3 linked regions of the Drosophila melanogaster genome follow. The protein of the gene in region 1 interacts with the protein of each later gene in a pairwise test. Each region holds a gene or a part of one and is shown in the gene's direction. Other genes may lie near its edges.

Region 1 (7,464 bases):
CGCCTCCGCGTCCGCCGCCACCACGTCCTCCGAAGCCACCACCGCCGCCACGGCCGCCACCGCCACGACCACCGAAGCCTCCGCCGCCTCCACGACCGCCACCACCACGTCCTCCGCGCTGGTTGTTATCAAAGCCTCCAAAGCTCTTGCGATCGCCAATCTTCTTGAAGCCGCCTCCATCACCGCCGCCCTCGCCGTTGAACTTGTTGGTCTCCCAAGTGCTGCGATCCGGTCGTCCGGAGAAGCCTGAGCCTCCTCGGCCGCCCCGTCCGTTGTTGTGCTTCTTAAAGTCGTTTTCCTGAAATGGTAGAAACGCCGAAAGGGGCAAACCACAAATTAGCAACGATTTGATTTGATATATAAGTTCAAAATGTATTGGGAAAGTGCCACAAGTGGTTTGAGATTCTTCGAGGAGCAACTTGCTAATTTGTGTGTCTGCCCCTTTCAGCCTCGTAGAAAGATCCCCCTCGCCTAATCCTCAACAGCCGTCGCAAACACACACACCCACGCGACTCAAATCCATTGCGGCACTTACCTTCGCCTCGAAGGACATGTCCTGGACTCGGGAGTCCACCACCACGTCCTCGGTGCGTACCCTTCGGAAGGGCGACCGTCGCCCACTTCCCCCTCCGCTATTGTTCATATTATGGTTTCGGCTGAAGGTGTTGTTAGGTGTGGAGGTGAAGTCATTCTTCTGCGAATGGCAATGAAGTTATGTAAAACTGTCTGCACAGGAATCGGACAAGGAGCCAAAATTATGTGCTGTTTAAAGTTCGGCTCAAATTTCAATAGGGCTTTAAAAAGCTACTTTTAAGGGAATCCTTTAACTCAGGAATTATTTTTATCCGACATTCAAAATTGATGTCTGAAGGAAAACATGCATAAGCGGACTGCGGATAATTTTAGATGTACATAGATAAGTTACACCGCCTTACCTGTTGCTCTCCCGATTTGACGAAGTTGTTGTACTTCTTGTTGGGAGTGGCCTCGTCCTGGTCGCCACCACTAAACTTGCGCTTCTGAGCGGTCTTCTCATTGCCATTGGTAGCTGAGTTGGGCTTGACCTCGCCGGACTCTTCACCAGAGTCACTCTCGTCGCTGCTGCTGTCAGCCTTCTTCGCAGGAGCAGCAGTCTTCTTGACAGCTGGCTTCACTGCCGGCGTTTCTTCATCGCTGGAATCGTCACTGTCTGAGGAGGCAGCCTTTGCAGACTTGGCCAGAGCCTTGGGAGCAGCCTTTGCTGGCTTTTCGTCTTCTGAGCTATCGCTATCTTCCGAAGAAGCAGCCTTTGCAACGGCCTTCGCGGCTGGTTTCTTGGGAGCTTCCTCCTCATCGGAGTCGCTGTCTTCGCTTGAAGACTTGGCCTTTTTGGCCGGTGTCGCCTTTGCTGGGGCGGCAGCCTTCTTGGGCGCCTCTTCTTCCGAGGAGCTGTCATCGCTGGAAGCTGCCTTCTTGGCAGGAGTTGCCTTAGCTGGCGTGGCCTTTGCTGGAGCTGCCTTCTTGGGCGCCTCTTCTTCCGAGGAGCTGTCATCGCTGGAAGCTGCCTTCTTGGCAGGAGGTGCCCTAGCTGGCGTGGCATTTGCTGGAGCTGCCTTCTTGGGCGCCTCTTCCTCCGAGGAGCTGTCATCGCTGGAAGCTGCCTTCTTGGCAGGAATTGCCTTAGCTGGCGTAGCCTTTGCTGGAGCTACCTTCTTAGGAGCATCGTCTTCCGAAGAACTATCCTCAGTGGAACTGTCGGCCTTTTTGGTGGGAGCAGCCTTAGAAATGGGCTTTGCGAGAGTTGCTGCCTTTTTGGGTGCCTCGTCTTCAGAGGAACTATCATCACTAGAGGAAGCCCCCTTCTTAGCAGGAGCCAACTTGGCAGCAGATTTAGCAGCGGGTTTGACCTCCTCCTCTGAGCTGCTGTCTTCGGAACTAGAAGCGGCTGCCTTAGGAGCTGGCTTTGCGGCAGGCTGGACGGCAGGCTTCTTGGCGGCTGGCTCGTCATCGGAGTCGCTTTCCTCGCTGGAGGATGCTGCTTTCTTTGCCGGTGCAGCCTTGGCTACAGGCTTGGCAGCTGGCTTAGTCTCCTCATCGGAGCTGCTTTCTTCGCTGCTGGAGTCGGCCTTCTTGGCGGGAGCAACCTTAGTCGTTGTGGCCTTGACGGCGGGCTTTGCCGGTTCTTCCTCGGAACTGCTATCCTCGCTGCTGGACTCAACCTTCTTCGCGGGAGCCGCCTTGGCCGGAGGTGCCTTCACTGGAGCAGCTTTTTTGGGTGCTTCTTCCTCCGAGGAACTGTCCTCGCTGGAGGATTTTGCCTTCTTGCCGACAGCCTTGGCCGGCGTGGCCTTTGCTGCTGGCTTCTTCTCCTCCTCTGAATCGCTGTCCTCGCTGGTTGAAGAAGCTGCCTTTTTGACAGCCTTGCCGTTTGTTAGTGCAGGAGCTGTCGCTGGCTTCTTAGGCGCCGCATCAGACTCAGAGTCTGAGTCGCTGTCTTCGCTGGAGTCTCCGGCTGTCGCCTTGATTGCTGGGATCTTTTTGGGGCTTTTGGTCTGGTAGAACTGAAGGATTTCACTCAACTTTGGGCTGCTTTTGGCGACACTGGCCTGCAAGTTAGAAAAAGGCAGAAATTCTTGGTTATCTGGACGAAGCACGTGGCACTTGCAGCAAGTGGCAGGTGGACAGCTCGATGAGCCATCGGCGGACAGCAAGGCCCTCGGATTCTAGATCAGGAGGACGCAGATACCACATGTTTCGGGTGCATCCAAACCGCACATATTGCACTTGCCGCTCTGCACTGAAACTTACCGCCTTCGTCTTCTGCTGGAAAACCTTGGCTAGGTTCTTGTCCTTGGACTGCAAGTACTCCAGGACGATTGCATCGGCTATCTTTAGCAGGTCTGTCATGATTAATTCAACTATTCGTCAATATTTTCCGTCCGCAAATAATTACTAGCCGCTTGTCCCACAAAAAAGAATGCGCACTCACACGTGTTTTCTACTTATCAGTGGTATGGCAGCACTACGCGGCTGCCAACGGTGTGGCCACCCCTGCACCCCGTTTCTCAACACTGTCAATGCAGCGGGTATTCTTCCCAAGAATAACTCGAAAATGCCAATCAATTGTAATCATTTATTTATGCCACACCGACAAAGATCTTGAAATTAGAAATAACGCTAGGCTACGTTAGACAAAACTAAAATTACAAATTTATTGTTATATATGTCTATGTATATATATATATGTATATATATATATGTATATGTATATATGTAGACATATATAACAATAAATTTGTAATTTTAGTTTTGTATATATATATATATATATATATATATATATATATACATAGACATATATAACAATAAATTTGTATTGTTAAATTTGTTATATATATATATGTCTATATGTCTATGTATATATATATAAATTACTAAACTGTATTATTAAATTGTATTCAAACAATTAGCGTATATATAACATAATGTAAGGAACCTACGTTTTTTGCGTGAGGTATTCAGACCATCCACGACTGGTCACATTGGGGGAGCACCAAAATGTATTTTTGTTTGTTATTCAATTGAGTTGACCTGCTTGAAACGATCCAGAATACAGAAACTATCTCTCGCTCCGGCTATTTTAACAGACTCTGTACCTAGATTGTGTCGCGAGGATCGCATCCCGGGCCATGGCTTCCGAGCCGAGATCCCTAATTCTGCAATTGGACGACGACTGTCTGGCCGAGATTTTCGATCGCTTGCAGGACCTGCCGTCGGAAGTGTCCTTCGCGAGGACTTGCCGGCGAGTGCAGTACATATGTCTGAGCAAGTGGCGCACCAGCCATGCCTACGAGCAACTGGATCTGGAGAAGTGGCGGGTACTGTTGCCCAATCATGAAGACCTGGTCTACTTCCTAACCCAAATGCGTCCGTACATCAGAGAAATGGGCGGCAGCAGCTGTCTGTGCTCCATTCTAAAAGATCTGGACGAAATGCACATTGCAGAGCTGCCCATGGTGACCAGCTTCTACTACGACCCAGACGGCGTCGATTGCTATCCCACGAACCGAAGCATCCGCAAGCTGGCCCGCCTGCTGCCGGGCTTGAAAAAGTTGCGCCTTACCACACCCATCGACGGGCGGTACCTATCCAACTTCCAGCACCTGCAGGAGCTGCACCTCTACGAGGACCAGCACAAGGCGTTTGAGCTGCAGCAGAAGTACCTGGACGAGGTGTGCCGGTAAGTAGTAACCTTCTGCTGCATAATATTTCGCAACTCATTTTCCGTTTGCGCCACAGCACGCTGCACGATCTTCGGGTCCTGGACATTAGGACGTACGATATGATCAGTAAACTTCAGCTGGGAAACTGCCTGCAGAGCTTTAAGAACCTCACTGATCTTAAGCTCAATCTGGCCACCTTGAAACCCATTCTACCCGCCGTTCTGGAGCTGCCCTCCCTCAGGAAACTGGTGGTGCTGCTGGACAACGAGTGGCATATCCCCCCGCTGGTCAGTCCGGATAGCTATGACCACAAGATCCGCGAGGTCAGCGAGTTCTACGAGATCATGGCTTTCAAGGCCAAGGACATCGTCGGCTTTGCCGTGGACGGGTACTATATGCCCCTTGAACCGGGCTGGGATGAGAAGCTGCCCATCTGGACGCATCGCAGGCTGAAGCGCCTGGCCATTTGCAGCTGGACTCATTCGGCAGACTACCTAAAGCGCTATACCTGTATGACAGAGCTGCAGCTGCTCTGCGTGCGCAACTGGAATGACCTAAGCGACGAAATCCTCTTAGAATTCGTGGAACTCTGTCCACGATTGGAACACCTCGACGTGTCCTACTGCCGAAATCTGACGCCAACATTTTTGCCACGGGCCTTGAGTATTCTTAAGCGGCGGGAGCCGTTCAAGCAGAAGACGGGAGTTGGACGTTCGCCACCTCTGAAGCTCTACTACGACCTAAGTGGCTTTGAGGACTTTGTGGATAGAGCGGTTACTATTTCTTGTTTATGTCGCTCTTCTTTTATCTAATCAATCAATCCATTGCAGAACCTAAAGAGCTCTTTGGAATATAGAGGATATATTGTCTTCACCGCCGACTTTCCAGTCGACTCGGAACGCGGTCTGAGCTTTGTGGACCGCGGATACCAATTTGAATTTCACTGACCTCAAAATATGTAAATATACAAGCGTAGATTCATACAATAATTTATTATTAAAATTTATGTTGCACAAAGTACGCCAAATTGGATTATTATTTCAAAGTTTTGAGTGCTCCATGCGGACTTCCGTGTTGTTTTCTAAGGCTGTCCTTCACGTAGTGACAAAGAGCACCGTAGTTAAATTATTTAAATAAATTTGTTTTAATAAAATAAATATGAAAATGAGCTGACGATAACGTGCAACATTTTTACCTTTGTTCCCTGGGAATCATTTATAGCTATGAAATAGCTAGCTGAATACCCCTGATAATATGTATATTGCTACTGCCAGGTATAATAACTGTAAGATATAATTTGTAGTTTGGAAGTCAACTTGTTGTTTCCCCAAAAACTATAATGCAATCGATAGTGTAACTCCCGCTCCTATGGATATCTAATCTGCAGGCAAAAATTATTAAATTTGACATTTCAAGCTGAAAAACGTTTTTGAATTCAGAGCATAAGAAAACAGTGCTGTACATATCAGGCAGATCCTGAGGAACAATGATACGATAGGTGAAAACTCGGACAGCGATTGTGAGTACGGATTCCTTAATGTCCTTCACCTAGCTAAACCGAGTCCAGTTTCCAGTTACCATAGAAGACTGCAAAGCGGTTTCAAGCGGAGACATACTCGAGTTCCCTGGGGAGAACTCCAATGAACACGCGGCTTCTTCGTATAGTAAGCCGGAACTGACTGGCCCGCTGAGGAGCCCAGCCGGAAGGTTAAGCCCCCGTACCGTCAGACTTTTCCAAGAGGAAAAGCTACGCCTGGTCAGAGCACACCGACATTTTTATGAACAGGAAAACATCCGCGCTCAGGAGAAGCACGTGGAGGAAATGGAAACCCTATGTGCGAAGCGGGAGCTCCTCTTCTTGGAAATCGCTGAAAACAAAAGAAAACTTAATGTACACTTTTAGATGCATTTTCGTTGGCTAAATTACGTGTTTAATGGGACTTCCTGAGGGATTCATGAGTTAAAGTTTGTAGTGTTAAAAATTCTCAATATGTACATCAAATTCCAAAGAATTTACTAATTATGTTTCTAAGATTTTCATCGTTTTTATCAGCTTTGTCATTGATTTCCTCGTCGTCCGACAGTTTAAAGGGTTTGTCCATGTCAACAGAAGGTTGGGGCAAAGGGTCCTTTTCCTCCCTGGATAGGCATTCACACTCCAAGGGATAGGACGGGAAACCTCTATGTGCGACTCGTTATAACGACTTTGTGCCTCCGTGGTGGGATTTATAAGGGGGGTCATCATATATTTGTTAAGCGAGTAGTTCCAATTGCTTAGGAGATAGTGTTCCTCGAACTCGCCGGCTTCCCACCTGGATTTTAGTCGACTGCTGTCGAAGATAGCTCTATTTCCGGTTGAACCAGGCCATCGTGCACCGACATCTTGGATGCTAAAGTGCGCATCTGAGACAGCCTCTTATTGATAAGAATCCCCTGCAGTTGCAATAGACGTCGCCGTGGTTCTGCCCCGAGAGTGGAGCCCAATGTGCGTGCACCCGACCCCCCCTCATCACATTTGGAAGCGGGGGGATTCTTTGGAAATCCACCATTCCTTGGACATGGCCGCAATGCGTAGGGAAACCTCCCCCACCGCCTAACATGCAGAGGCCTTCGAAAGCGGCATCCAAATTTCTACAGACGTAGAAACGCAGGGCCAGGAGCAACTCGTCCTCGGGACTTAGTAAGCGTTGCCTAGGCAGATTCAGTGCGTCAAAGAGGGTTCCTCTTGAAGTCAGTCAACAAACGAACCCGAATTCGGATGCTCCAACCGTTTTCATATTTTTTGTAAAACCACTAATCTACTGGCTTTTGAAGCTCTTGGAAGTTGTGTGTACTTTGGTGGATCCTTAGCTTCCGAGGCCATAAGCCCTCGTCTTCATCGGAGTATTCAAGTAAATTAAGATAAATAGCGCGGTTCAAAGGCATTTTGTTGATATTGGTCCTATAAGCTGTTTTTTTTTTTCGAAATTGAAATTTCACTGTGAATGGCTATCTTACACAGTAAGCTGTTTCAAAATATTCAACAGTTGTGTATTCCAAAAACATCCCCCAATTAATATTTGATCCTTGGAAACATTACTTACACAGTCAGCTGTTTCAAAATATTCAACAGTTGTGTGTTCCAAAAACATCCCCCAATTAATATTTGATCCTTGGAAACATTACTTTTTAGACAAATAGCATTTTCATTTTCAAATGGATTGTTAAGTAGATTTTTAATGATTACAATTTTTTAGAAGGAACCAAGGTGTCACATCAGTGG
Region 2 (8,768 bases), on another chromosome or scaffold:
TTAAAGTAAACACCAGTCAGAAAATTTCAATTTCACAATGCTGTGAAATAATTTCAGTATAAAGCTTTTATCCTAAACATATTTGAAGTTCCAGAAAATTCTAAAAAATTTCTAGGTTGAGTGGATTAGGATTTAGATTTAGAAAATCAGTCTAAGTCCGGACGAGATTGTGAACATTTTCAAATTAAGGATAAGATAAGATAAATAAATTTTAAATTTTAATTTACATGTATCTACATATGTTGGCTGTTGTCTATCCCAGTTTCGAAAACAATGCATGTAAAAAGCGTGTAGTCACAGAAAAATTATATCTCCACGAAAACTGTGGATTAAATTGTAATCAAACTTTTTACACAAATAATGAAATTACAACATTTTTAAGATACCGTGCAATTTGAAGTTTATTTAATTTTTTGGAATTCACCTCCAAATAACGATTAAGAAATAAATACAAAACGTCTGCCGTGCTGATGGCTCAGGCTTTCCTCAGGCTGGAGTACCCCCCATGCCACAGCTCTAAACACTAAAGTCGATAACCACCGACGTCTCACAACACTGAAAATGTAAGCAATGTTAAAGCGAACACAAAGACAAAAAATTTAAATGTTTTGAAATGCTTAGAACATCACACCTTTTGGTAAATCGGAGTCCGAATTCTTTAAATAATTCTCGGTATATATATTAATTATTTTTTACATCATTTACATCTCAATCCATTTCTCCATCAGTATATGGTATCACACTTGGATCGACGACTGCTACATTGGATAGGTCAAAGTGAAATGTGTGGATGGCCTTTGGAAGCTACAAAGGCTGGAAATAGTGGTAGGCGATGTGCCAATTTTTGGCGCATATGGAAGGTTGCAAGTATTGATCACCGGCGGCTACGGTGGATGTGGCTCCAATTTATTCTTTGGAGTAAATTTCCGGTTTGGTGGATAAAAAAGTTCCAATCGACTGACAACCAACAGACAACTAAAAAAATTTGGCGCTCAACGATCTTAGCCATTGACAAATATGAGACTTTCTGATTTTTTGAGCTATACATTTTGTAAATTTTTGTTTCTTTAAGCTTAATGGTTTTTTCGTTTGTTTATCTTAGCCTTTATATATTTTCTTAGTAATTAAACATGTATTTATTTTGTATCTATCTCTTTGTATTTGTATTTTTTTGTATGTATCTCTGTTTGCCTTTTCGAAAGCCACATCTAGGCACTTAACAGTTTAGACCTTTAAAACTCGGTCTGTACAAAATGGATCATTCTTCTAGATCATACACTTACCTTTAAGGCATAACCCTTAACTCACTTTTGAAATCTTTTGAAAATGTATATTCTTTTGAACAAAAAGGTTGGCACTCGAGAGCAATAGCAATACGTATAAGCAATCGAAAAAAACGAAAATCATAAAAAATCCTAACATTATTACAGTTCACATATGAAATCAATTTAGGTTTGTGCACTTACAGTTTTTTAAGAAAATGGCTTTGGCCAGTTTTTAGGCAGGAAGGTAAAAAATTTGTTCAGTGGATCGGCGTTGACAATAAATTAAGATCAAAACAAAAGCAAACGTTTCGGTAGTGGAGACACGACATTCTTTTTACATCGAATTTTTTGTCGAGTTCAAATATCGATAGATTATATCGATATCGTCTTCGTCTGACAAACCATTTCACGATACCAAAAAAAAAGTGCAAAAATAACTAAATTCTCGGCGTAATTATTTAGTAAATAGCGTAGCTAAGCAGCAGGTGAGTAGGTCGCAAGCGCGCCCCTCCACGATCCATCAAGCGGTAATTGGCCTGCTGTGCAATTGCTCGAGGACAAGGCCATTTGCCTGGTGGCCCCCACGCAAAAAGTAAGCGATTATGCCAAAAAGCAAAGCAGAAGTGGTCTCTGCCAACGCATGAGGGTCGCTCGGTCGCCCATTGTTATATTTGCGAAGGCAGAATCAGTCGGCGTTCTAATTAGCGTGCACCCTGTCCCATCAGAAAACCCTTCCAAATCCATATCCAGACGGACCACGGATTAGGACTAAGACCCATTTGACATGTCGCTCAAGCCCAAAATAGTGGAGTTTGTCGATGTTTGGCCGCGCCTGCGCTGCATCGCCGAGTCGGTGATAACGCTCACCAAAGTGGAGCGCTCGGTGTGGAATACTAGCTTCAGGTACGTCTTGGCAACGGTCGGAGTATTAAACAGCCTGGAGAGAGATATTGTGATAGGTCACTAGAGACTACAAAGTTACCCAACTCAGAAGAAACACAAATAACACTAACTAACTTTTAAATTAATCCAACATAAGTAATGGTTTCAATCACATTATTTTGCATTTGAGTTGGTAAACTATGAATGTACTAGTACCTAGCGGTTCAACTATATATTTTATTCAACAGCAAAATTCACAAATATAGCTGCTAGCGAGGCGAAAATGATTTGGTAAATGTCGTAGAATCTTGATAAATGCAATCATAGTTTTAATAATAAATGCCTGTTTTCTAGCTTGAATTTAAATATTTTGACCGCTTAAAGGTTAAACTAAGTTCAAGTAAATATTAAATAGATCGATGACGTATCTTTTTAAAATTAATAATCAAAACAGTGTAACGCAGGCTGCTTTTATTCTGACCGCAACTGTTCGTATATATGTGTGAAGCGTGAGTTGCCAAAATAAAATTTCTAAAATAACGAGCACTAATACATCTGTCTTTCCAATCACATTCCTTTAACATATAGCGACGTTTACACACTGTGCGTGGCGCAGCCGGAACCGATGGCTGATCGTCTTTATGGCGAAACAAAACACTTTCTTGAGCAGCACGTCCAGGAGATGCTGGCCAAAAAGGTGCTGATCGAGGGAGAATGCTCCCATTCCAATGGTGGCCCAGACCTTCTCCAGCGTTACTACATCACCTGGATGGAATATAGCCAGGGTATCAAGTATCTGCACCAATTGTACATGTAAGAATGCATCGAAGTCTGTAATAACTCAATGATCGTTGGAATTAATTTCCTTTAGCTACCTGAATCAACAACACATCAAGAAACAAAAGATTACCGATACGGAATCGTTCTACGGTAATCTGTCAAGCGATGCTGCGGAGCAGATGGAGATTGGCGAGCTAGGTCTAGACATTTGGCGCCTGTATATGATTGAGTACTTGTCCAGCGAACTGGTCCGTCACATACTCGAGGGCATTGCCGCAGACAGAGCTAGCAATGGCACCTTGGATCACCATCGCGTGCAAATTATCAACGGAGTGATACACAGCTTCGTGGAGGTACAGGACTATAAGAAAACAGGCTCGCTTAAGCTCTACCAGGAACTCTTTGAAGGCCCCATGCTGGAGGCCAGTGGCGCCTACTACACAGACGAGGCTAACAAGTTGCTCCATCGGTGCTCAGTGTCGGAGTACATGCAGGAGGTTATCCGGATACTGGAATATGAAAGCCGGAGAGCCCAAAAGTTTTTACACGTCAGTTCCCTGCCAAAACTACGTAAAGAGTGCGAGGAGAAGTTTATTAACGATCGTTTGGGCTTCATCTACTCGGAGTGCCGCGAAATGGTTTCAGAGGAGCGGCGCCAAGACTTACGCAACATGTACGTCGTACTAAAGCCCATACCCGATAATCTCAAGTCTGAGCTCATAACCACCTTCCTCGATCACATCAAAAGTGAAGGTCTGCAGACCGTATCTGCGCTGAAGGGCGAAAACATCCATATTGCGTTCGTAGAGAATATGTTGAAGGTACATCACAAGTACCAAGAGCTGATCGCAGACGTCTTCGAAAACGATTCTCTATTCCTGAGCGCATTAGACAAGGCGTGCGCCAGCGTTATCAATCGCCGGCCAACCGAGCGGCAGCCTTGCCGTAGTGCCGAGTATGTGGCGAAATACTGTGATACGCTACTGAAAAAGTCTAAGACCTGCGAGGCAGAGATCGATCAAAAGCTTACTAACAACATAACCATATTTAAATATATCGAGGATAAGGATGTGTATCAAAAGTTTTATAGCCGACTGTTAGCCAAGCGCCTAATCCACGAGCAAAGTCAGAGCATGGATGCGGAGGAGGGAATGATCAATCGTTTGAAGGTGCGTGGTCTGCTAGTCTAAAATGTACTTCACAGTGAATAACTGCAATAATGTGAATTATTTATTTTTAATGCTGTTTTAATTTGTTATGACCCTTTTACAAAACTACATTAGCTTAAATAGATCTTCTTTTATTAATACTTACAGCAAGCCTGCGGTTATGAATTTACCAATAAACTTCATCGCATGTTTACGGATATATCGGTATCAGTAGATCTGAACAACAAGTTTAATACTCACCTTAAGGATAGCAATGTGGACTTAGGTGAGACGGAAAATGTATATTCATTAAAGATAGTTTATTTTTATGTATGTGTATTTCTATGCAGGCATCAACCTTGCCATTAAGGTACTGCAGGCGGGCGCGTGGCCCTTGGGATCTACTCAAGTTATACCATTTGCAGTACCACAGGAATTTGAAAAATCTATTAAAATGGTACGTTTTTCGTAAATGTATATATTTTATTTTAAAACGAGATAGAAGCTGCCTTTGACAAACCAAAGTTATAAAAAATTTTTTTCAGACTTTCTTTATTTAGTCAAATTTTTAAAGAGAGGCCTTTTAACAATATTCAGAAACATATATAAATATTTAAAGCAGCAATAAATACAAATAATATATAATAATAAATACAGAAAAACCTTTATGTAAAAAACTTTCCTTCAAATCGACGACTACATCGTAAGGTGTTCTCTTGAAATGTGTGACATATAGAAAGTTAAAAGTATCTTTATTTCAATAAAGGTACTTTAGCATACCAAATCAAAACGCAACTTCTTTTGGTCCAAATACATCTTAAACCGTGTGACTTTGTCGAAGGTACTTCAGAAATTTTAAATGTATACGTTAATCGTGTACTGTACCTTTGTTATGATTTTTCAGTTCGAGGATTACTATCATAAATTATTTAGTGGCCGGAAGTTGACTTGGCTACATCACATGTGTCATGGAGAATTAAAGTTGAGCCATTTGAAAAAATCTTATATCGTGACTATGCAAACATACCAGATGGCGATAATACTGCTGTTCGAGACTTGTGATAGTCTGAGTTGTCGGGAGATCCAGAACACCTTACAGCTAAACGACGAAACGTTTCAAAAGCACATGCAGCCTATTATCGAGTCAAAGCTTTTAAATGCCAGCTCAGAGAATCTCGCCGGTGAGACTCGAATAGAATTAAATTTGGATTACACAAATAAGCGTACAAAGTTTAAAATAAGTTCGGCTTTGCAAAAAGAAACGCCACAGGAGGTAAGGCATTTCGATTTCAACCTGGTTACCTGGTACCTGGTTTTCTAACGACGTTATTTATGTAGGTTGAGCACACAATTAACTCGGTAGATGAGGACCGAAAACTCTTTCTACAAGCCGCCATTGTAAGGATTATGAAAGCGCGTAAAGTCTTAAAGCACAATGCCTTAATACAAGAGGTAATATCTAAAACACCTGACTGTGAATTAAAATTACATGATGTATTTTTTCTTTAGGTTCTCTCTTTATCGAAGGTTAGCTTTACTCCCAACATAGCAATGATCAAGAAATGCGTGGAGTCATTAATTGACAAACAATATATTGAGCGAACGGCGAACTCGGGCGATGAATATAGCTACATGGCATAGACTGCGGTAGAGATTTTTTATTCTTAAACAAGAACCTTCCCGGACAACAACCTCCCATACACACAACTGACGCTAACCAAGCGGCTTATTTTGTCTAAAAAGAACTACCTACAATGTTAAAAAAAGAAATCAAAAGGTCAAGCAATTTGAGTTTTGTTATTTTTGTGGTCATAGCATATTGGTATGAAAGGTGTGTGGAAATCAAACGACGTTACTGATACTTTTAATTTAGCTTAGTTAGTTGATCCATTTTGATTTAATGCGTGTGTCCTATTCAATTGTAGATATAATATATTTCTTTATGTATTGTATATTTATCTGGTTTTATTAACACACGCACAAACCAGAATAATGTGCTGGAAAATGTATAATAAATCCCAAAAAATGTCTAAAAATATGTCATTCAAAGTATTTCGTATCCTGTGCGTTAACGCTGTACCACTGTACACTTCAAATTTACATAAATGAATGCTGTGCAAAAAGCAGTCAGCATTGCAGTTTAAGTATGCGGATAGAGATCTGTACTTTTTATTTGGTCGTCTCGGAAAAAACTGGATCTATTGTCCGGAATCCCATTCTTATAATTTTTTGATTTTCTAGTACTTTTTAATAACGAATCCGGGTAGAAATAGGCGTACCACCACCTACAAATTGGCATATCGTATATTGAGCTTTGAGTTGTCAAAGTGCCAAAGAAAGTGTAAAAGCAAACATTTTTCGAAACTTTCAAGATTGCTAAGATTCTTAGATTTTGTTTTAAAAGAGCTTTTAAGGACTTTCCCATCTTTTTGTTTTTGCTCACACATTTTATTGGACCTTGGTTTAAAATATAAAATTCCCTTAAATTCTTTTACTAATCTTAGAATGTCGATTTTATTAATTTACAATACCTTGTACGTATGTTCAGTAACCATTTAAGTTTCGCCTTTGCCAAGAAATCCAATATTTGTATATATTAAATACCCAAGGGCCGTGGATTATATTTGTTTTTAGTCATTTTTATTTCTTTTGTGCTACTTTTCTAAAAAATATATATCATAATGGTAAATTAATTAATTTTACAAATATGTATATGTAACTTAATAGTTAATTATAAAAATTATTAACTTCCTATATCAAATAACACTAGTTCATTGAACGGAATAAATAAAAAATACTTTTAAGTCGCTGATAACATTAATTTGTTTTGATAAATTCGGTAGAACATGATTGTAATTTGTTTCGCGATAAAAAAAGCGGTCCCATAAAAATCTTTTTAACGCTTCTGAATCCATGGCCATACCCTGAAAACAACTGCCTTCAACGACTTAAAAGCATTTTGGATGTAATAGCTGTAACTGTAATACAATTCGTTAATAATAATTTTATCTTGTTTTTGAGTGCCACAGCTCCCGCTGATAAAATGATTCCAATATTTATGTTTTTGGCATCCACTGAGTGTTAATAAAAAATATGTTATCTTTCTTATACATTTTTTATGGTTCATTTTTTATATTTAATGACTAGTAAACGTTTACATATTGCAATTTTCCTTTCCAACCACTCAACTTCATTTTTGCTCAAAATTTGAGAAAAGCTTTCTCTGGTAAAATCGTCTTGAGCATTTTATAAGTTTAAAGTTTTTATGTATTAAATTACTCTCGATCTTGTTTTTATTATCAAACATTCGTTAAAATGTGGAGGGTTTAACTTCATTCTGTTTCAGTTTTTGGAAATTCTATACGTATCAGTTTTAAGAATTTTTTTATAATCTCAACTTGATTTTCCTGTGTTGCACTCTGGGGCGTGGCAGATGTTCGATTAATAATTTACATGAGATAAAAAAAATATCTCATTTTATTGCCCGTTTCTAGCTCCTTTAAATACCTTGCACAACTTTAAATTGATGTAAGAAATAAAGTGTTCTTGCCTAGAACCCTAAACGGTTTAGTCGTAGTCCAAACTATATATATTATATATATATATATATATACATATATAATATATAATATATAATATATAATATATAATATATAATATATATAATAATATATAATATAATATATATATATAATATATATATTTATATATATTCCTCATACATATACGAGTATGTATACAGATTTAAACTAATTCAGTGCTTTTAAATTTCTTGTTGCGCCACAATGCTGCGTGTATTCGGTTAGATTTTGGTTATTCGATCATTGGTCATATAACTACAGTAATTGCTTTAATAGTATTTTAAAAGATGAGTGTTGACCGCACATTCACTTTACACTTTATTTTCTTTGACTTGTAGGAGTGAAATCTTGTTTGTATTTGTTAGGTTCATTTTATTTATTTTGCCATTTTTTAAATTTAATTTTATCTTTCTTAGCGTTTTTTTCATTGTCAGTCTTTACGATTCACGGCTTTTGTGCATTTGAATTTTCCAATTGTCTTCTTACTGTATGACCAATACGAAATTTTATGTATTTTTTCAAGGCGAACGAACACAAGCGCTTTGCTGATCGAATGAGCAGGTGAGTGACTAGGTGAGTGCAAAGATGAACTGGCAGGTTTCGACCCGATAGAAGTTAATGCACGGTTATTATAATTTTCGATGCTACTATACACATATGTATGTGTATATAAAACAAGGGGTATATCCAAGAGGGGATTTTTACTGATCTAAAGAGACCGTTTTGGAGCGTTTCCAAAGAGATTTAAAAAGCCCCTTTTTTTTAGGTTTGTTATTCGTGGTCGCCCCCGAGGCTCCATTGTCTTTGCGATTGGTATCCTTTCGCGTGGTGGATCCTAGAAAAGTGTTTGGTATCAAAATTAAAGTCTTTTGAAAAGTTTTTTCAAATTTATGTTAACGCTACCGATTAACTATCAAGAACCTGCTAAGGAGAGGGAGCTTTTAAATTGCACACAAGCTTTACCTACGAGTATCTGCTAAAAAATTCATTTAAATTTAAACCAAAATTTTTAAATTTAATCTAGCGTTAGGGACGTCAAGTAAGCGTGACAATATTTTGAAGCAAACAATTTCATATAAATTATTTTACGCAATTTGCTTCATTTTCGTAAC
Region 3 (5,824 bases), on another chromosome or scaffold:
TTTAAGAAACATATTAAGTTCTCGTTATTGTTTGAAGTTGAAATAATTCGGTGATATAATTTTAAGCTTATAAATAATAAAATAAAATATATCAAATATAATGTTAAGTCAAGTCCAAGTAATAATTTCTGAAGCACACTGCTATTTACCAATTTAGGGTGACCATTTAGAGTGTCTGATGCCGTTTGCCGTTTAGTGTACGCTATGGTCACTTTGCTGCCGGCTTTTTTTTTGTATGCGATTTGTTTTTGTGCGATTTATGCTGTGGTCCTGATTGTCCTTCTGTCGAAATGCGTGCGCCTGATGCGCTCCTGCTCCGCGTCGCTCTCCTGCTTCTACTGCTGACCACCGTCCGCGGAACCCTCGCCCCGGACAGCCACAAATCGAAGAGCAAGACCAAGGAGAGTGCTCTGCGTGGCGGTCCGCAAGACCAAGATGTTTTCGATCTGGGCTTGGTTAGTCCCGAGCCCCTGGCCAAGGATATCGTGAGCAATCATCGCGGGTACTTCAAGGAGACGGGATTGCGACGCTTCAATGGCACCACCTTGGGCTATGTGACTCCAGTAAGCAGAGGACGTACTCCCACATTTTGTGCATGTGTATTAATCTATTGTTTGCTTTGCTTGTAGTGGAACTCGCATGGCTATGATGTGGCTAAGATATTTGCCAAGAAGTTCGACATTATCTCGCCGGTTTGGCTGCAGATTGTTAAGCAGGGAGATCGTTATGCCGTAGCCGGAACCCATGACATCGATGCGGGTTGGCTAACCGATGTCCGGAGAAAGGGTAAACAGGTGCACAATCAGCGAACGGTTAAAGGTATGAGAAAATGATACCCGCTGGCGTTAGTCTAAACTCACTTTCCTTGGATTTCAGTGTTTCCCCGTTTTATATTCGATCACTTCACTGATCGGGACATTAAGCTCTTGCTTAGCGACGCCCAGGAGAGGACGAAAGTCAACGACGTGCTGATCAAGTGCTGCAAGGATAATGGCTTCGATGGACTCGTCCTGGAGGTGTGGTCCCAGCTAGCTGGACGCATAGATGACAAAATTCTGTACACACTGGTTTTGCAAATGGGTGAGCTTAATGCGTTGTAACCCTTTGTTTGTTATTAATAATTTAAATTTCTTTTACGTCACTTAGCCAAAGAACTACAAAAGCAACAGCTGCGACTCATTTTGGTCATTCCTCCATTCCGCAAGGAAACAGGCCACCTTTTTGGAGAAAAGCACATGGACAAGCTGTTCAAGCACATATACGCCTTCTCTCTGATGACTTACGACTTCTCCAGCGTGCAGCGTCCCGGAGCAAATGCACCATTATATTTCGTCCGTAAGGCTGTGGAGACAATAGCTCCAGAAGGTTGCGCTGATATGACGGCTAAGAGGGCTAAAATTCTGTTGGGACTGAATATGTACGGGAATGATTACACGCCCGATGGAGGTGGACCCATCACCTTCTCCCAGTACTTGGATCTAGTCAGGCATGTGAAGAAGCACCTAACTTACGATGAGCGGGATGTGGAAAATTTCTTTGAAATCAAGTGAGTTTTCTACTGCAGCGTATGCAGAGTGTAAGGCGAAGATGATGAATATCATTACTTTCAGAAACGATGACGGTCGCCACATTGTCTTTTATCCCACTCTCTATTCCATAAACGAGCGAATAAAGCTCGCCCAGGAACTGGGCACTGGCATTTCAATCTGGGAACTTGGCCAAGGCCTAAACTATTTTTACGATCTCTTCTAGTTAGCCTGTAAGCAGCATGCAATGCACAATACCTATTCCAAATAAAGGAAATTATATATAAGCCATAATGCTTCATAATTTTTCCAATTTACAATTTTAGTAACCAACTTTGAAATGAGGCGCCAATTTGTTAGTCAACCGACAGCCGCTTGACAGCACTGTTTAATTTATCGAATATTTTAAATTTATATCGGGCCGTTTACTCGTTTAAAACGATACTATCGCTGATGGTTTTTCAGCTCTAGAATAAATTTGTTATTATTTTTTTAGCCGGTGAGAAATCCTGAAATGCGCTTTCTTTATGCCTGCTTTGTGATCGTGCTGTGCGCCCTGATCTTCTGCGAATATGTGGCGGACTTTGTGGTGCTGCAAAAGTGCAAGTGGCCGGAGATAAAGCGAAAGAAGTATGTGGACGATCCGCTTAGGGCAATGATTCTAGCGGATCCGCATCTGCTGGGACCGCATCGTGGTCACTGGCTGGACAAGCTCTACCGGGAGTGGCACATGACGCGGGCCTTTCAGGCGGCATCACGTCTGTTCCAGCCCGACGTGGTCTTCGTCTTGGGCGATTTGTTCGACGAGGGCGACATGGTCAGCGACAAGCAGTTCCAGGAATATGTGTGGCGCTACCTGAAGATGTTCCACCTACCACCGGGAATTCCGCTCATCAGTGTCGCGGGAAATCATGACGTGGGCTTCCATTACAAGTAAGTCAATAAGAGACTATGTGTATTCCCTGATATTTGTTAAACCGCGCTCTTGTGTGTTTTCCAGAATGCATCCCTTCTTTATGTCGCGTTTTGAGAGTTATCTGAACAACTCCTCGGTCAATTTGTACACCATTAAACAAATCCATTTTGTGGTGATAAATTCGATGGCTATGGAAGGTGATGGTTGCATGTTTTGCACCCAGGCCGAGGATCAGTTGAAAAACATTTCGAGGACTTTGTACTGCATGAAGTATCCACTAGAGGCGGAGTGCGCTCGCACCAGGCGGCACCCGTACAGCCAGCCAATTCTATTGCAGCACTTTCCCACCTACCGCATTTCGGATACCATGTGCGAGGAGCACGATGCTCCGTACATCGAGGCGTTCCGAGAGCGGTTTCATGTGCTCTCCAAGGATGCCACGGATATGCTGGGAGAGCTGCTTAAGCCAAGGCTGGCATTCGCCGGTCATTCACATCACTTCTGTCACAGTGTAAATCGACTGGGCATCGATGAGTACACGGTGGCCTCATTCAGCTGGCGAAACAAAGTTAATCCCAGCTTTATGCTGGTGAGTATTATATTTGCTCTTACGATTGTTAGCCCTTCGAACTTGTACTAACATGCCATAACTTTTAGGCCACTATAACCCCCGATGACTATGTGGTTTCCAAGTGCAAAATGCTGCCACAGCAGTTTGTCTTCAATAGCTATCTGAGTGCTGGCATTCTTTGCCTAATTGTCATCGGGTTCCAGCTACGAAAGTGCATCCAAAGCAGAAGACAGTCGTCGGCTGTAGATCATCGGAAGGTTAATTAGTATGTATAAGCATGCCTATACAAGGCATATCCTCTTTTGTGATTTACGCCTGATTGGGGCTTAGTTTAGACTAGATACGCCAGATTCCAGACTCAGATCCCAGATCCAGATCCAGACAGAGGTCATATCATTCCTGCTGCTTTGCAACCGCTTAACTATATTCTAGGTGTACAAAATTCGGATAGTATGTATGATCTATTTATTGAATTTATCACAGACATTATGCTTGTAAAGTCAAACGGAATACATAATGAGACACAGTCTGCTGACTACAAATCGAAAATGCCAAAAAAATAATGCTTGAACAAAGGCTGGAAAGTAAAGAACGGATACAAACAGAACAATTAAATAAAGCTATATTATAATACATTTACTATATAACGTTAATGATTGTGCACTCTGTATTCTGAGATGCAGATTCATAGGTTCCTGTACTTCGGTTTATGTCTTCCAATATCTGGATCACATTGTACTAGACTAGGCTATCTATAAGGTAACTACCACAAAGCAACTACAACTACAAACTATGCTAACAAAACAGGGTGTGGAATTCAATGCCATCAATTCCATTAGTTTGGCACAGGAAGTTCTGGTTCGTCTATTTTAGGATACGTTTAAGAGGTTTTTGTGCGCCTGCGCATGGAGATTGCGACCACTAAAGCATTCTTTTGGAAGGAATCTAGAAGAAAAAATGGGTTTAATAACAGAGGTTAAACATGTGGTTACAAAAATTACCTGTGAATCACTGGTGATATTAGATCCGGATCTAGTGTTTTCATATTTGTGGGTTTGGTCACAAGGGAGACTAGTGCACCTACCACAATGACTGTGGCCACACCAATGGGATTTATCCAGTGGTAGGACAGTCGGTACAGTGGAAAAACTTGCTCCTCATCTACCCATATATTTTCCCGAAGCGTTACATTGCCCACACATCCCTCCACGGATACGGGAAGCTTTTGAGAATTCAATTCACCCGCTGCGATGGTAAACTGCGTTCCAAAGGATATCCACCCGGCGAGCAGAGCACTTGCAATTCCGCCCACAGCAGTGCCTACAGTATTGGCCCAGGGAACGAGCATTCCCAGGGTAAACAGGCCAAAAGTGGTTCCAGCTGCGATGGCCGTCATTGAAGTGCAAATGCTCAGGATTCCACTCAGTTGTTCCAGGACAAATACCAGTGATAGGGCCACAAAGCCAAGAACTATAACAGTTGACTTTACCAGAATGGTGGAGGCTCTTTCACTTGGTTGCATCTTGAAGCAGCCGCGAACTATATCCTCCAGGATTACCAAGGACGTTGAGTTCAGAACCACAGAAAGGGAGCTCAAGGCAGCTCCAAATATGCCGGCTATAAACAAACCAGACATACCATAGATATGACCCACACTCTGAACGACAAAGAGCGGCAGTAGCTGATCGTCGTGCTGCAAGGAAATAAACGTAAGTAAAGTTCAAAAACAATTTATTATTTACTCACTGTTATTAGTCCCGCACTCAGAGGATCACAATCTTTGTACATCTCATAGATTAGCAGTCCCACATAACAACAAACAGAGACGAAGGCAGCCACGCCAATTGTAAAAATGGCCATGGAAGCACGAGCCTTCTTGAGCGATGGAAGAGACATGTATCGCTGGACCATGGTCTGGTTGACGGCATTGAATGAGGTCCAGTAGGAGAATCCCCCGATTAGGACGCTCCAAACAGTGTGCCTTACATAAGGCGATGGGTTTGTATTGTTAAAGATCAATCGGCCACCTTTGGCAGCATCATCGAAAAGGACATTCAAGCCATTTGCATAGACAGTGGCCAAAATAGCCACAGCAAGAACGGAAAGGAACATGACCAGCACCTGCCAAGCATCTGTGTGGACCACTGCTTTGATTCCTCCCTGAAAATAGGCGCCATTAGTATAAAAACATACGTATGAAACTCTCTAAAACTTACGACAAAGGTGTAGAAAACACACACGACCACAATTACCACTGCAATCACATGGAGATTAATGCCCGATACTGCAAGATTATCGAAAGATTAAAGTTGTGTTTCAAACAATTAACAAATGCGGCTTACCCTGATTCAGAGCTATAGCTGGTACATACACAATGAAAGGCAGAAACAGAATCTAAAATTGGATCGACAATTATTACAACATTGCAGTCCAAATATTATCTTTGACTTACCTCATCCAGAATAAACATAAAGGATGCAATACTTCGTACGACCGAATGAAAGCGCATCTCCAAGTACTGAAAGCAATATTATATTTCATAATTCAAATGACTTGCGTTTAGGATTCGAAAACTAACGTCATAAAGACCGAAAACGAAAACTAATTGCTCGACACAATTGTCAAGTGGCAGAAAACCACATTGCAATTAATCATATCGAACCGCTGGAACCCAGAAAAAAGTCGCAACAAGTGGGCGAGTGCAAAGTCCAAGAAATTCCACTTGAGGGGAGGGTGGTCTCCGATTCCCAGTTAATTAAAGTGTTCACTACGTCCTCCGTTCATTGATTGGACAAAAGTGACGGAGCGAAA

The links.
Region 2: the proteins of CG7148 (region 1) and Cul2 interact in a two-hybrid assay, tested with the Drosophila melanogaster proteins (one large-scale study listed by BioGRID).
Region 3: the proteins of CG7148 (region 1) and PGAP5 interact in a two-hybrid assay, tested with the Drosophila melanogaster proteins (one large-scale study listed by BioGRID).

What each region holds. Positions count from the first base shown.
Region 1 is NT_037436.4:21,828,301-21,835,764, reverse strand, and holds CG7148 (uncharacterized protein), read left to right. Parts: upstream 1-3,511; 5' UTR 3,512-3,668; coding exon 3,669-4,219; intron 4,220-4,278; coding exon 4,279-4,975; intron 4,976-5,032; coding exon 5,033-5,149; 3' UTR 5,150-5,221; downstream 5,222-7,464. Other genes in the region: Nopp140, read right to left, coding at 1-298, 536-694, 936-2,585, 2,788-2,886.
Region 2 is NT_033779.5:21,657,105-21,665,872, forward strand, and holds Cul2 (cullin 2), read left to right. Parts: upstream 1-1,630; 5' UTR 1,631-1,857; intron 1,858-1,990; 5' UTR 1,991-2,049; coding exon 2,050-2,168; intron 2,169-2,735; coding exon 2,736-2,960; intron 2,961-3,018; coding exon 3,019-4,096; intron 4,097-4,243; coding exon 4,244-4,361; intron 4,362-4,425; coding exon 4,426-4,532; intron 4,533-4,979; coding exon 4,980-5,348; intron 5,349-5,413; coding exon 5,414-5,527; intron 5,528-5,584; coding exon 5,585-5,716; 3' UTR 5,717-6,594; downstream 6,595-8,768. Other genes in the region: CG2225 (uncharacterized protein), read right to left, coding at 8,358-8,491.
Region 3 is NT_033779.5:8,197,003-8,202,826, forward strand, and holds PGAP5 (Post-GPI attachment to proteins 5), read left to right. Parts: upstream 1-1,950; 5' UTR 1,951-2,040; coding exon 2,041-2,459; intron 2,460-2,526; coding exon 2,527-3,031; intron 3,032-3,099; coding exon 3,100-3,278; coding exon of another isoform or gene 3,279-3,279; exon of another isoform or gene 3,280-3,343; coding exon 3,344-3,353; 3' UTR 3,354-3,650; downstream 3,651-5,824. Other genes in the region: CG8460 (uncharacterized protein), read left to right, coding at 291-563, 630-819, 877-1,080, 1,147-1,546, 1,611-1,752; SLC5A11 (Sodium/solute co-transporter-like 5A11), read right to left, coding at 3,883-3,958, 4,015-4,706, 4,760-5,173, 5,230-5,297, 5,356-5,407, 5,466-5,531. UniProt on the Drosophila melanogaster protein: Metallophosphoesterase.